Saccharomyces cerevisiae S288C: one gene and its partner. The gene in region 2 interacts genetically with the main gene of each other region. Each region holds a gene or a part of one and is shown on either strand. Other genes may lie near its edges.

Region 1 (4,074 bases), on a different chromosome or scaffold from region 2:
ACTGCTGTTGACCAATTCCAAGAACTCTCAGATCTTCTGGCCAAGGAGCCCTCTCCCGCAAACGCAAGAAAAATGATTGCTATCCAACAAAACATCAAGTTCCATGGCGGTGGTTTCACAAACCACTGTCTATTCTGGGAAAACCTGGCTCCAGAGTCGCAGGGCGGTGGTGAACCACCCACCGGCGCTTTGGCAAAGGCAATCGACGAGCAGTTTGGCAGTCTGGACGAGCTGATTAAGTTGACCAACACAAAGCTAGCAGGCGTGCAGGGCTCCGGATGGGCCTTCATTGTGAAAAACCTCTCTAATGGAGGCAAGCTGGACGTTGTTCAAACCTACAACCAGGATACCGTCACAGGCCCACTAGTTCCTCTAGTTGCCATTGACGCCTGGGAACACGCCTACTACTTGCAGTACCAAAACAAGAAAGCCGACTACTTCAAAGCCATTTGGAATGTGGTCAACTGGAAAGAAGCATCCAGAAGATTCGATGCTGGCAAGATCTGAAGAAAGAAAGAAAGAAAATACCTTTTTTTTTCCACTGTGTCGTTTTTATTCTAACTACTCTACTAAATCACACAACCACACTCCCCTATTTAATAATATATTTTACTATTAAAATACATATACATGCATCGTAAAAAAAGAAAAAAAGAAAAGAAAAGAACCGAAAAAGACAATACAACCAACCTTCCTCCACTTTTTCTTTTTCCTTGTTCTCTCTCGCTTCCTACGTTACTCGCGCCTGTGCACTACATTCCCACCAGATTAACTCACCACCAGGCAGAGAACCAATTGTTCTTGTTATTGTTCCAACCGATAATTGTAAAGCCATTAAGGTCGTAAACGACTGCTTACTCAGGGAGATCTCCGAAAACGGCAATTGCTGTGCACCGTGCGACGTTATGATCGCCGCCTGTCCCGTACAGACGAACAATTGCAACAATGGGCGGTTGTTTAGAGAGGTTTTGTGCCGCGCCCGGGAATTACCGGGGGCACAGCAAAATACGAAATTTCCGGCAAAATGTCTCTGTACGAAAATGAGGCCAGCCTTTATTCCCGACTAAGCCGTACGATTATAGTAATGTCACACGAAGTGGATACTATACGAGCAGCGCACATACAATGTGCGTGCAAGATTTGCCGGGTTGGACAATCTTAAAGGCCGATAATCCACGAAAAACGAGACAAACGAAGCGCTGGCCCTAAACGAAACGAAACGAAACTAAGATTTCAAGATAATCGCTTTTCAGATGACAATAGTCTCTTGCAGAACACAATAAGTGTGGTAGGTATCTTGCAGGAGACATCGATTTTATGCCTGAATTTTTTTTTTTTCTTGGTATGAGCACATCCTATTGTGCATCTCCACGAGTTAACGACGTTTACGTACTCGCATGTATTCGAAAAGCCTCTAAAAATTGCCCTCCATGTGTATTCATTATATAAGATAGCGTATTTTCCCTTAGTTTTCTTATTCCCTCTTAATTCTCTCTTTCAATGTCTTTTTTTTTTTCCCTTTTCCTTTTTCCCTTTTCGTTATTGGTAAATTATTTATAAAAAGATTGATAAGCAGTATCGTTCAGCGTGTGTATTTTCGATAGGAAGTAATAATTTTTCATTATATTAATTAATAGTTTCCAGAAAAAATTTTTTTTCCTTCACAATTGCAGCAGGCTTGAATAGAAACAGAACAAACGAGTAATACAAGGATGTCTGCTACCAAGTCAATCGTTGGAGAGGCATTGGAATACGTAAACATTGGTTTAAGTCATTTCTTGGCTTTACCATTGGCCCAAAGAATCTCTTTGATCATAATAATTCCTTTCATTTACAATATTGTATGGCAATTACTATATTCTTTGAGAAAGGACCGTCCACCTCTAGTGTTTTACTGGATTCCATGGGTCGGTAGTGCTGTTGTGTACGGTATGAAGCCATACGAGTTTTTCGAAGAATGTCAAAAGAAATACGGTGATATTTTTTCATTCGTTTTGTTAGGAAGAGTCATGACTGTGTATTTAGGACCAAAGGGTCACGAATTTGTCTTCAACGCTAAGTTGGCAGATGTTTCAGCAGAAGCTGCTTACGCTCATTTGACTACTCCAGTTTTCGGTAAAGGTGTTATTTACGATTGTCCAAATTCTAGATTGATGGAGCAAAAGAAGTTTGTTAAGGGTGCTCTAACCAAAGAAGCCTTCAAGAGCTACGTTCCATTGATTGCTGAAGAAGTGTACAAGTACTTCAGAGACTCCAAAAACTTCCGTTTGAATGAAAGAACTACTGGTACTATTGACGTGATGGTTACTCAACCTGAAATGACTATTTTCACCGCTTCAAGATCATTATTGGGTAAGGAAATGAGAGCAAAATTGGATACCGATTTTGCTTACTTGTACAGTGATTTGGATAAGGGTTTCACTCCAATCAACTTCGTCTTCCCTAACTTACCATTGGAACACTATAGAAAGAGAGATCACGCTCAAAAGGCTATCTCCGGTACTTACATGTCTTTGATTAAGGAAAGAAGAAAGAACAACGACATTCAAGACAGAGATTTGATCGATTCCTTGATGAAGAACTCTACCTACAAGGATGGTGTGAAGATGACTGATCAAGAAATCGCTAACTTGTTAATTGGTGTCTTAATGGGTGGTCAACATACTTCTGCTGCCACTTCTGCTTGGATTTTGTTGCACTTGGCTGAAAGACCAGATGTCCAACAAGAATTGTACGAAGAACAAATGCGTGTTTTGGATGGTGGTAAGAAGGAATTGACCTACGATTTATTACAAGAAATGCCATTGTTGAACCAAACTATTAAGGAAACTCTAAGAATGCACCATCCATTGCACTCTTTGTTCCGTAAGGTTATGAAAGATATGCACGTTCCAAACACTTCTTATGTCATCCCAGCAGGTTATCACGTTTTGGTTTCTCCAGGTTACACTCATTTAAGAGACGAATACTTCCCTAATGCTCACCAATTCAACATTCACCGTTGGAACAAAGATTCTGCCTCCTCTTATTCCGTCGGTGAAGAAGTCGATTACGGTTTCGGTGCCATTTCTAAGGGTGTCAGCTCTCCATACTTACCTTTCGGTGGTGGTAGACACAGATGTATCGGTGAACACTTTGCTTACTGTCAGCTAGGTGTTCTAATGTCCATTTTTATCAGAACATTAAAATGGCATTACCCAGAGGGTAAGACCGTTCCACCTCCTGACTTTACATCTATGGTTACTCTTCCAACCGGTCCAGCCAAGATCATCTGGGAAAAGAGAAATCCAGAACAAAAGATCTAAGGTTTGTAACTGAGAAAAAAAAAAAAAACAGAAAAAGAGAGAAGTTGTACATTCACGTGGGCCTTATCGCCACACTCATCCATCTCCAATGATTTATTTTATTTGCCAGTACGTTTGATATGACATCGAGTTATGTTCTTTAGTTACTTTCAAACTTGGACAACCATCCCGCATTATTTATGAGTGGTATGGTTTCACTTCTTTATTTATAAATATTTATACTACGAAATTATATATAGATTACATTTCTAAAACAACATCAAATATAAGGTTTATTTATGCAACATGCCTACTGGATTAGAAGAGAGAACACACAGCTCACAGGCCAAGCGGAAATAAAGCAGTCTTTTCGCAAACTTGTAAATCTTTTTGCAATTTAAATTAATCAAGAGAGGGCCCAGGAGGAGAGGAGTTTTGGGGAGGGGTCACTGAGGAAGCTCTCTTAAATATGGATTCACTGAAATAAATGTATATAAGATTCATTACTGCTTTTTATAGTGATAAATCCAAATGATGAGTGAATTGAACCATCCTTAGTATCCATTGTTTTATAAAGCACCGCTAAAAATAATATATTGCTACAAAAATGATATAATAATAATATTACGTAAAATACCTGAAACCGCCATAAAAATAATACCTGAATTAACCTTAAAATTCTATCCCATAAGCTTTTTTGTAAAGGGCCAGATAATCTTGAGTCTCCTTCAAATGATTCTCACCCAGAAGTTCAAAGTCCATTTGCTTCTGTAACATCTCATTAATGGAA
Region 2 (3,631 bases):
GGTAGCGTTGTGAAGAATGACGCCAGGATCTTGGACTGCTTTTTCAACAGTGTGGCAGAAAATAAGCTATTGAACAGGTCAATATTAACTCAGATCCTTTCACATACGTCTGCCAAGACCCTATTTCACTCGGGGAATTCTAGATCATCCATCAAGAATATCGTGAAGCCCAAATAGGTACGGACATCTACGTAAGAATGCATGTAAATAATAATCGAATAAAAGAACAATTAAACACTTGTATATGCACGCTATATCTACAAGAATCCAAACAGTCTCAAGATGTAGTCGACTGCCAAGGCGTACGTAAAGTAAAGTCCGGTGTTGATATTTGCATTAAAATACTTCCAGCAGTTTTTAGGATTGTCAAGATCCACTTTCTTTATCATGCTGAAGAGTCTATAAGCGAAGACTCCTAGTCCACCAATGAACCCAGGCCCCCATAACAACCCACTGTTCAAGCCGGCGACAGCTAACAGTGCGATTTGAGACGCGGACATGGCCTTCATGATAGACTTTGTGCGTGGACCCCAAGCCAAAGCGGTAGACTTGATTCCAGCCTTGATGTCAAACTTTTTATCCTGGTGTGCGTATATAGTATCGTAAGTCATACACCACAAGTAACTGCTCAGGTACAAAGGTATCATTGTAGGCCAGCTCATTACACCCATGGCAGGAAACCCAAGTAACGCTCCCCAATTGAAACATGCACTTAATGCAGCTTGAGGATAGTACGTAAACCGCTTAAACAAAGGGTATGTGAACACAATAGGTAACGATGCAAGGCCTAGCCACCAACACTGCGCAGGAAGCAAAGATAGAACGCCCATTCCAACAAGAGTTTGAGCCCCCAAGAATACTAACGCCCGACGGGGGCTCACTCTACCAGAGGCGATAGGCCTCTCGACGGACCTGATAACTCTTTGATCCAACTTTCTATCCAAAAAATCGTTGATGGTGCAGCCAGCACCTCTCATTACCAATGCACCTACACCGAAAATACCCAACATACCAGCTGTTGCGCTCAATGTAGCACCTTGCATCATGGCTCCCATAAGTATAGACCAACTGCAGGGCAAATATAACAGCCACGTGCCCACGGGTTTCTCTAGCCTCATCAGCTCCGCATACGGTATCCATTTCTTAGGCAGCCGAGACACGAACGGTCCCAGTCCATCCAATCTTTCCTTTCTTGCAACTTCCAACTCTTTCGACGTAAACACAGGTGCTGATTCTTTCGAGGAAGGGGAGGAGGAGGAGGAGGAAGAAGACGTATATCTCTTTCTGCTGCTTCCAATGATTCCAGCAACGGTAACTCGGCCGCTGCCCAGAATGGACCTCCCTAGTAAAATACTCTTTCTCTGCCAAATAAACATTAGTTGACACTGTTATTCTACGACAGTTATTTCTACTGTAATCTATAGTATACTCCGCCCTTCTGATAACCTTACTTTTAATTTTGGCCTGATTCTTGTGAAACTTTTCCACGATGCCGAAATCGCCGAAATGGCTCGTTTAGCCTTTTCTCGAAGATTGATATATAAAGAGCATCCATCGTGCTGGTAATGGTGATGCAAGATTGAAAATTCCCAGACAGTGAGCACCAGCACAATGACCGTTTACACAGCATCCGTTACCGCACCCGTCAACATCGCAACCCTTAAGTATTGGGGGAAAAGGGACACGAAGTTGAATCTGCCCACCAATTCGTCCATATCAGTGACTTTATCGCAAGATGACCTCAGAACGTTGACCTCTGCGGCTACTGCACCTGAGTTTGAACGCGACACTTTGTGGTTAAATGGAGAACCACACAGCATCGACAATGAAAGAACTCAAAATTGTCTGCGCGACCTACGCCAATTAAGAAAGGAAATGGAATCGAAGGACGCCTCATTGCCCACATTATCTCAATGGAAACTCCACATTGTCTCCGAAAATAACTTTCCTACAGCAGCTGGTTTAGCTTCCTCCGCTGCTGGCTTTGCTGCATTGGTCTCTGCAATTGCTAAGTTATACCAATTACCACAGTCAACTTCAGAAATATCTAGAATAGCAAGAAAGGGGTCTGGTTCAGCTTGTAGATCGTTGTTTGGCGGATACGTGGCCTGGGAAATGGGAAAAGCTGAAGATGGTCATGATTCCATGGCAGTACAAATCGCAGACAGCTCTGACTGGCCTCAGATGAAAGCTTGTGTCCTAGTTGTCAGCGATATTAAAAAGGATGTGAGTTCCACTCAGGGTATGCAATTGACCGTGGCAACCTCCGAACTATTTAAAGAAAGAATTGAACATGTCGTACCAAAGAGATTTGAAGTCATGCGTAAAGCCATTGTTGAAAAAGATTTCGCCACCTTTGCAAAGGAAACAATGATGGATTCCAACTCTTTCCATGCCACATGTTTGGACTCTTTCCCTCCAATATTCTACATGAATGACACTTCCAAGCGTATCATCAGTTGGTGCCACACCATTAATCAGTTTTACGGAGAAACAATCGTTGCATACACGTTTGATGCAGGTCCAAATGCTGTGTTGTACTACTTAGCTGAAAATGAGTCGAAACTCTTTGCATTTATCTATAAATTGTTTGGCTCTGTTCCTGGATGGGACAAGAAATTTACTACTGAGCAGCTTGAGGCTTTCAACCATCAATTTGAATCATCTAACTTTACTGCACGTGAATTGGATCTTGAGTTGCAAAAGGATGTTGCCAGAGTGATTTTAACTCAAGTCGGTTCAGGCCCACAAGAAACAAACGAATCTTTGATTGACGCAAAGACTGGTCTACCAAAGGAATAAGATCAATTCGATATGTAACATTTTTCTTTTCTTTTCTTTTCCTTTTTTTACAATAGCTAATTTACGTTTCCCTACGGTATTGGTCGGAACGACCAAGCTTCAATTTATAAATATCTTAATTTTAACAGCAGTTACCACTTGAATGAGAAACTTTTTGATGCCTACTCTTTTGCTTTTTCATATCATGACCTCCCTACATGCTTCGGAATTTCCTTATTCGTAGCTGTCTAACAGCACCACTTAGCACAAGTACGTCCACCCGTTTCATACTTAAAGATCTCAGCAGCCACCCAATCTACATTTAGGGTACCTGTCACATATCTTCTCAAATTTTAGGTTAGCTTTCAATTGTAAAGTCTCTTTTTGGATATTGCACGTTTCAAGTCAAAACGCGGCTGTAACATAATTTTCTGAAACAATATTAAAACATAGTAATGACTTAAAACAAGCGACTATCGCAAATAAGCAGTTCCCAGCAAGCAATTAAAACGTATATAAGCGCAGAATAATGATCTATCATCAATAATTATCGTGAACTTTTCCAGTATTTACGTTCATCTTTGAAAAACGGCGAGCATTAACAATAAAAGCTAAAAAAACCAAAAAATTTCAGATGACATTATCTTTCGCTCATTTTACCTACCTGTTCACAATATTGTTGGGATTAACTAATATTGCCTTGGCATCTGATCCAGAAACGATTCTAGTGACGATAACCAAGACAAACGATGCAAATGGGGTTGTTACAACTACAGTTTCACCCGCGCTAGTCTCCACATCCACTATCGTTCAAGCTGGCACTACGACATTGTATACGACTTGGTGTCCA

The links.
Region 1: mutations in MVD1 (region 2) and ERG11 impair growth when combined (synthetic growth defect), as found in Saccharomyces cerevisiae (2 studies listed by BioGRID, with this or other methods).

Annotation. Positions count from the first base shown.
Region 1 is NC_001140.6:119,322-123,395, reverse strand, and holds ERG11 (sterol 14-demethylase), read left to right. Parts: upstream 1-1,712; coding exon 1,713-3,305; downstream 3,306-4,074. Other genes in the region: superoxide dismutase SOD2, read left to right, coding at 1-507; YHR007C-A (uncharacterized protein), read left to right, coding at 631-846; STP2 (Stp2p), read right to left, coding at 3,957-4,074. UniProt on the Saccharomyces cerevisiae protein: Sterol 14alpha-demethylase that plays a critical role in the third module of ergosterol biosynthesis pathway, being ergosterol the major sterol component in fungal membranes that participates in a variety of functions.
Region 2 is NC_001146.8:700,284-703,914, forward strand, and holds MVD1 (diphosphomevalonate decarboxylase MVD1), read left to right. Parts: upstream 1-1,611; coding exon 1,612-2,802; downstream 2,803-3,631. Other genes in the region: MRX15 (Mrx15p), read left to right, coding at 1-177; COQ2 (4-hydroxybenzoate octaprenyltransferase), read right to left, coding at 258-1,376; AGA1 (Aga1p), read left to right, coding at 3,416-3,631. UniProt on the Saccharomyces cerevisiae protein: Diphosphomevalonate decarboxylase; part of the second module of ergosterol biosynthesis pathway that includes the middle steps of the pathway. MVD1/ERG19 converts diphosphomevalonate into isopentenyl diphosphate.